2 linked regions of the Neurospora crassa OR74A genome follow. The protein of the gene in region 1 purifies or fractionates together with the protein of each later gene. This does not show direct contact. Links are inferred from orthologs where the notes say so. Each region holds a gene or a part of one and is shown in the gene's direction. Other genes may lie near its edges. The genes, in order: NCU03148 and NCU06226.

The links.
Region 2: the proteins of NCU03148 (region 1) and NCU06226 purify together in Saccharomyces cerevisiae (affinity purification with western blotting; 3 studies listed by BioGRID, with this or other methods). This does not show direct contact. The link is inferred for Neurospora crassa OR74A from reciprocal best matches to the Saccharomyces cerevisiae genes EGD1 and RPL25.

What each region holds. Positions count from the first base shown.
Region 1 is NC_026501.1:4,724,902-4,728,434, forward strand, and holds NCU03148 (nascent polypeptide-associated complex beta subunit), read left to right. Parts: upstream 1-1,424; 5' UTR 1,425-1,537; coding exon 1,538-1,593; intron 1,594-1,904; coding exon 1,905-2,077; intron 2,078-2,268; coding exon 2,269-2,498; 3' UTR 2,499-2,970; downstream 2,971-3,533. Other genes in the region: NCU03147 (assembly factor cbp-4), read left to right, coding at 89-273, 474-613; NCU03149 (tRNA-specific adenosine deaminase, variant), read right to left, coding at 3,135-3,533. UniProt on the Saccharomyces cerevisiae protein: Component of the nascent polypeptide-associated complex (NAC), a dynamic component of the ribosomal exit tunnel, protecting the emerging polypeptides from interaction with other cytoplasmic proteins to ensure appropriate nascent protein targeting.
Region 2 is NC_026503.1:1,964,842-1,968,444, reverse strand, and holds NCU06226 (60S ribosomal protein L25), read left to right. Parts: upstream 1-1,282; 5' UTR 1,283-1,458; coding exon 1,459-1,483; intron 1,484-1,709; coding exon 1,710-1,774; intron 1,775-1,852; coding exon 1,853-2,145; intron 2,146-2,206; coding exon 2,207-2,294; 3' UTR 2,295-2,785; downstream 2,786-3,603. Other genes in the region: NCU06227 (hypothetical protein), read right to left, coding at 1-879; small zinc finger protein Tim8, read right to left, coding at 3,227-3,402. UniProt on the Saccharomyces cerevisiae protein: Component of the ribosome, a large ribonucleoprotein complex responsible for the synthesis of proteins in the cell.

The sequences.
Region 1 (3,533 bases):
TTCCATCCCCCACCTCCTCTTACATCTCACAAGTCCAAATTCAAGAAGAAGAGAGATCTAACAAACTCTTGTTGGCCCAAACAAACAGTGGAGCAGCAATCTGCGTCGGCGGTCCTGCATTCACCTACTGGCTCACCCCGACAGACGAGGAGCTCTTCCAAAAGTATAACCCGGAGCTGCAGAAGAGGAGTCTGGAGAGGCGGTTCGAGCGTCAGCAGGAGTTTGACGACTTTGTCACCAAGTTGAAGGAGTACTCCAAGTCTGATAAGCCAAGTAAGCTTTCTTCCCTCTGTCCCTTTTTGTCCGTCTGTTGGCAATTCTGTTGGAGTTTTTGTTGGGATGGAGGAGGAGATGGATAGAGGTGGGGATTTGTTTGCGGATGTGGATAGGAAGAAAGAGGGATGGGAATGGGCAAAGCAAGATGAAGATGGAGATAAGTGAGATGAGTAGCGTGCTAACTTTGACTTTTCTAGTCTGGACGGTTCAGGCCGAGGCCGAGGAAAAAGAGAGACAGCAGCGGGCGTCGGTGCAGAAGAGTCTGGCATTGGCGGATGAGGTGAAGGCTAGGAAAGAGGCTATGAGGCGTGAGGCCGGTCTTCCGCTTGAGAAGTAGTGGTTAGGCTAGCTTTACGTTGGGAAGTGGTCATACGTAGGCGGTTTGGGTTGTAACATCATGATTCTGTACAAAACTACTGTGTATTCTAAGATGGGTATTGAAAGAGAAGGCGTTCAAAAGGGTCTTGGGTTTTTAGGACGGAGATGATTAGCTTTTGGTTCCAAAGTCCCATGGTCTCGAAGTTGTGCAATATCACGATGTTCTCTGGAAAGACTGTTTGCTGCTTCGCTTTTCAGAAATGGAGGGTATAGGACCATCATCCAACCTAAACTATGTAGTGAAGCGAGCTGTCCCATGTACAACTACGTTGGCAGATATCATCCTATGAGGGACCTCATAACAGACGATGATGTCAAGTCCCAAGGTGAGGCGAGTTTACTTTCGCGGTAAGCAGGAAACAAGTCAAGGTGAGCACCAAAGCAGGTGGGGTAGAATTTTGATGTGGTTCCGCTAGCTGGACATACGAGGCCCGGCGTACAAGACCTATTCCTCAACTTCCGAAAGCAGATGAGGATGAAGCTCAATATCAACACTATATAGATTAAAGGTAACTCCCGGTGACTGTAGTAGGGTTGTTTACCTAACCGTTTCGAACCATGCCGTATAAGCTTAACATGGCGGCGGGGGTGTAGGTATGTGGAAAGTTTCTTGAAGGACAAGATTTTAAGTATGCACGGGCCAACTGCCCATCCAGCACCGCCGCGCGACGCTCACACATCACCCCTCTTCTCAGCCAGCAGCATGAACCCCCCAGCCCGCAAAGCCCAGAGCCCACACTACCGCCCACAGGTCCTTGATGAGGTCCCAGCGCCAAACTAACCCTGAGCTCTAAGGTTCACCGAGATCTCCCGCACCTTTCGCTTTTTCCCCACAACAGATCAATCTCACATCCTCTCATCACCAAACAAACCGCCAGCAAAAATGTCGGATGTTCAGGAGCGTTTGAAGAAGCTGGGCGCCTCGGCCCGTATCGGTATGTCGTCGCCCATGTTTTCGCTCTGTAGGATGAGGTTCTGTTCGACAGGCTAACAAAGGTGCTTTCCCTCCGCTTTAGGGTATGTAGAAATTCAAATATCACTCGTCAATCGCTCTCGCACACAACACGCACAAAAAAACGAGCCAGCACCGAATTACCCCTCCATTCTTTCGCGCGCGCGCCCTCGATTGTCTCCCACACAAAAAACCTCCCCCCGCGAGCCCAGCGAAAGGCGATGAGCAACGTGCAGATGCAGACAAAATGAGAGGCTTTTGATTTCTGACAATGGACTTTTTTTTCGAAATGAAATAGTGGCAAGGGTACTCCCCGCAGAAAGGTCAAGAGAGCGCCTGCCCGCTCCGCTGGCGATGACAAGAAGCTCCAGGCCACCCTCAAGAAGGTCAATGTTCAGCCCATCCAGGCCATCGAGGAGGTGAACATGTTCAAGAGCGACGGCAACGTCATCCACTTCGCCGCCCCTAAGGGTACGTACCAATACGCCCAGTTTCAATTTCGCGATATGGACCCCCCTTGACTGGGCTTGGTCCAAAATCGCCAGTATGCAAGAGTGTTATGGCCTACTTAGTCAGGCGGCCTCTTGACATATCGCGACAGCTAAGCTTCAAACGTTGGTTGGGGGCTTGTCTGCTAACAAGTTGTGTTTCTTGTACCACAGTTCACGCCGCTGTCCCTGCCAACACTTTCGCCATCTACGGCAACGGTGAGGACAAGGAGCTCACTGAGCTCGTCCCCGGTATCCTTAACCAGCTCGGCCCCGACTCTCTCGCTTCCCTCCGCAAGCTTGCCGAGAGCTACCAGAACATGCAGAAGAACGAGAAGGACGCTGAGGAGGATGATATCCCCGATCTCGTTGCCGGCGAGAACTTCGAGAGCAAGGTCGAGTAAATTACAAAAAAATAAAATACTCCCTCTCTCTGTTTGATTCCCCCAAAACGCGGTCTTTCCTATCTTCAGATTTGCGGTGACATTTATCATGGCGTGCTGCGTTGGGGAAATCACGGGGTCTCTTCAACCCGTCCTTTAGTTGTTCAATGTCTTCTCATGATGGCTTATGAATCTATGTGAAGCTGGGAAATGCTCTTCGGGCGGCAATGTTGATGTCATCTTCCAGCTCAAAGAGAAAGGATGTTACTTGGTACATGTGGCAACGAGGCGGAAAGACGTGTTTAATTGTCTTCGTCCATCTCGGTTTGCTCCTGGACTCTTCCAGAGAAAGACTGCGGTTGAAATGATGGTTATAGGAACAACGCATTCTACATCAAAACGATGTACATAACCAAAACCAAACAACTGACCAAGCGCTGGAAAATGGAAAAAGCTTCTTGGCCTCTCGAACCAACATTGGAGAGAAGTACGAATCAGGAATCGTGACCCATATGACAACGAGACAAAGATGATGTGGAGACGAGACATGCTGTGCATTCAAGTGCGCAAGTGAAATGTCACTCATTCACGCTTTGTATAGTGACCACATATCTCCCAGCAATCCTTCTCTGAATCGTTCCTCAACACTCCTTTGATTTACTCAAGTTTAAAGCTTCCACCCCTAGTATTCCTTACCCACCCTTTCAACGCCACCCTTTTCGTCTCCTCCTTTGCCCTCCGTCTCCCCTCAAGCAAGCTACTTCCATCCTTGATCTCATCATACACAAGGTTCGTACTTCCCAGGACTCGCTTGATCTCGCCATCGTCGTTGAGCGCCATCATCGAACAAACCTCCCTCGCCAAAGTCCACATCTTCCGCCGAGAGACCAGACTCGCTCCCCGTAAATCAAACTGCTTCCGGCCCTGCAACACGCCACCCACCAAACCCTCCCCATCGCGCGGGCCGTTGAGCGTCCATGATGTCGCAAGGTTGCTAGCTATGAGCTTCTTTGGCTTTGTGTCCTTGACGTCTGCCATGTCCGTCATATCTTTAGA
Region 2 (3,603 bases), on another chromosome or scaffold:
AGAACGTAGCTCTTCCTTGCGAAACGGCCTGTCGTTTCCAACCTGATCTGATGTTCTCCTCCACAGGTAATAGACCAGCCGTTGGGTTGTCTTGGATTCCACCATCTCGTACCCGATCGATTCCATAATAGCCGCTAACCTCTCTTGATCCAGATATCGCGAGTTGGTGACGCATGGGGCCGGTAGCACAAGGAACAAACTTGGAAAGAATGCAGCGGTTGTCCCGGAGAACCGCTTCGGCGATGTTAGAAATTGTGTCGTGCGGACCAGCATCTCGCCTCTGTCCTTATGGTCTGGGACAAAGTTGAGCACCAAAGAAAGGCTGATGATGTCAAACTTCTCCGACTCGTCCTTCGGCAACGGGCGCTCCATGAAGTCCTGCTCAAGAATCCCAGGCTCTTGGCTGTTGAGATCGATCCGAGTGATGTCGAAATGGTTACTTTGAGCACATGCGTTCTTTGTACTCAGCGCTCCAACTTCCAGCATGCGCAAGCGGCCTTCCTTATACTCCTCGGATGAGAGGTACGGCCCAACCCACTCCATGAGCACGTTGGAGCTGTCGCCGCCTCGGTCATGTCTCTGCCCCTGGAGACTTGCTTCCTGATATTTCTCGATACCACCCAAAGCCTCGATCTCCGCCTCAATTGCCGCGACCTGTGTGTTATCGTTCTTCTTCATAGCCTGCACCTTCCTCTTCTCTAGGAGATGGAGTTTGTTGATGATGGATTTCGTGGTTTTCCGCGCAAGTGACTTGGGCTTTGTGACCGTGGGCGGACGGCCTGCTGCCAGGTTTTTGACCACTCCCTTTTTCTTAGGTCGCGTAGCCATGGGCGGACGCCCAGCTGCAAGGTTCTTGCTTACTCCTTTCTTGGGTGCCATAGTCCTTCGTCGCGTGCTATGCTGTAACAAGTATATAGCCGCAAATAGTCGATCTTGTCGATACTGTGATCCGTCTCGGTGAGATTGGTTTTCGATTTCGATTGGTGGTTCGTGACACTGTAGTTAGCAAGACAACTACACCACGTCCTTGTCTGGAGGTCGTGATAGGCACAGAACAGCGAGGCTTGGAGCTGTGAAAATCCAAGGTGTCCTGCACCGACTTCATCCGACAGACCACGAGCAGAAGGAGGAAAGCTGGATCGGAGGGCGCATCATGACCTTCAAGGTTGAATGACGGAGTGCGTAGCGATAAAGTGATGATCGGAGGTCGAGATTCAAAATACTGTGGAGCATATTTCGCGAAAGTGGATATTCTGGTGTGGTTCAGAGCCCGTTTGCGCCAGTTTGCGCAGCTCAACCCCTGCCAGTACCACTTCAGCCACACTACCAAGCCACACAAATCCCGCGCGCACACTTTTTCCTCCCCCAAATTTTGGCCAAAAAGTGAACTTTCTCCTCTCCGACAACGACCAGCGAGAATCCCGATTTCTTAGCCCGACGACAGCAGAAATCGCAGCAATGGCCCCTAAGGATACCAAGAAAGGTACTTGAAGAAACCTCAAAATCTCACCAGCGACGATTCCACCAAGAATGAATTGAACGGCTCGACAAATATGCTCGCCCCGCGCACAATGCGGATCCTCCGTGTCGCGCAATGGCATTCGGAGGTGATGCACCAAAGCAGCAGCAGACTTTGCGAGTTTGGACAAGATTCTGGCATCATCTTGCTCCAGGCGAATGCTTTTGCTGACGAGGGACTCTATGGATAGGCGGTGCCTCTAAGGCCGGTAAGGGCGCTCAGGCCAAGAAGGCTGCCCAGGCTGCCCTCAAGGGTGTAAGTTTGCGACGACTCGCGATCCCTTCCCCCCTGGTGACGTTCTGATGCTGATTAGAGTTCTTTTTCTCTGTTTAGGTGCACTCGCACAAGAAGACCAAGGTCAGATACTCGACCACCTTCCACCGCCCCAAGACTCTTCAGCTGTCTCGGGCTCCCAAGTACCCTCGCAAGTCGATCCCTCACGAGCCCCGTCTCGATGAGCACAAGGTCATCGTCCACCCTCTCAACACCGAGGGTGCCCTGAAGAAGATCGAGGAGCAGAACACCCTCGTCTTCATCGTCGATGTCAAGGCCAACAAGGCCCAGATCAAGCAGGCTCTCAAGAAGCTCTATGACATTGACACCGTCAAGATCAACACCCTGATCCGGTTAGTTTTGGTCCCTATGGACCGGCATTAATATGGTTCTTGTTGCTAACTCCACTCACAGCCCTGACGGTTCCAAGAAGGCCTTCGCTCGCCTCACTGCCGATGTCGATGCCCTCGACATTGCTGCCACCAAGCTCGGCCTTGTCTAAACTAGCGATTTCATAGCTATGGGAAATACACAAGATTCGGGATAAAAACTATCTTCAAGGGATACATGGGTTTTACTGTTTAACGAAAAAGAAGTCGGCGTCTGATACCCCTTTGGCGTTTGGTCCATGGCATGGAAATGAAAGTTTTTATAACTATTCTGCCCGTTCCATCAGACATGACCAAATGGGCCATTATCCAAACTCCTCCCTTGCAAGCCATAGATCTACTTGCTCTAAGACTTGAATCTGACATCTTGTATTCTTGCTATCACCATGGACTCATTGTCGCATTGTTATCTGCACTTCTATAACCAATTATCCTGCACTGCGCATTGGGTCTGTGTTTGAAGATGAAGATGAGTATCCCGCTATCGCGCGCTCCCATATCATGCTACAAGAACCGCCTGTCATACTGTCTAAGTTCCTGAACAAATTCCCATGCCCTATAAACCCTTTTCCCTTCCAGTTCTACCTTTGATCCTTCCCCTGTCCCATCACATATATCGTACAAGCCTTCAGGCGTAACCGTAACAATTCCTCGAATGACTGTCTCTTAGAATTGTGACCAGAACCTCAATCGCAAGCCCTATCGCAGGGATCAACAAAGGTTCCCTAGCAAAGGGTGCTTCTCTGTACCCCCGTTCCGTCGTAGTAAGCCCGAGTGTACCAGACCCAGCCAGAACCACCATGAAAACAAGCGTCGGATACCTCGGCCGCATCCTCCAAGTCTCCCAAGAAGCCCACCAAGCAGGACCAGCCAACCGAAAAACGTAGCCAGCCAGCCCCGCGGGACAACCAGTTCCTCAAGGGAAACAAGTCACCGTTTTCGCCATCCTCCTTCCTCTGCCTCCTCTTTTCTTTTTGTCCCGTTCTCATCTTTTTTCCTCCTCCTGATAAGCATCCTCCCACGCCTTCCTATCGGCGCGCGAGACCTACTTGCTGCCACCCCTGGTGATCTTTTGCACGTGGGCCATGATGGTCAGGTTGACGTCCAGGAAGCGCTCAACGCAGTCCGCCATGCAGACGGCCTCGGTCTTGTCGAGCTGGTTGGTCTTGATGGGGGAGGTGACGCATTTCTTCCAGCAGGAATCGGTAAGGGCGTGGGTCTCTACACGTGGGAGGTAGCATGTTAGTTTATCTGTTGTACATAACCACTGGGAGGTAGAGTAATGTGGGAAGAAGCATATGGAAGGGGGAGGGGACAGAGAGAGGGTATGGTTTTGGTTATGGTTATGGGAGGGGGGAAAGAGGGAAGTGGTAGGTAGGCTTAGCGAGGGGCAATAAGCTGTATTTGGTCATGGTAGAGGGA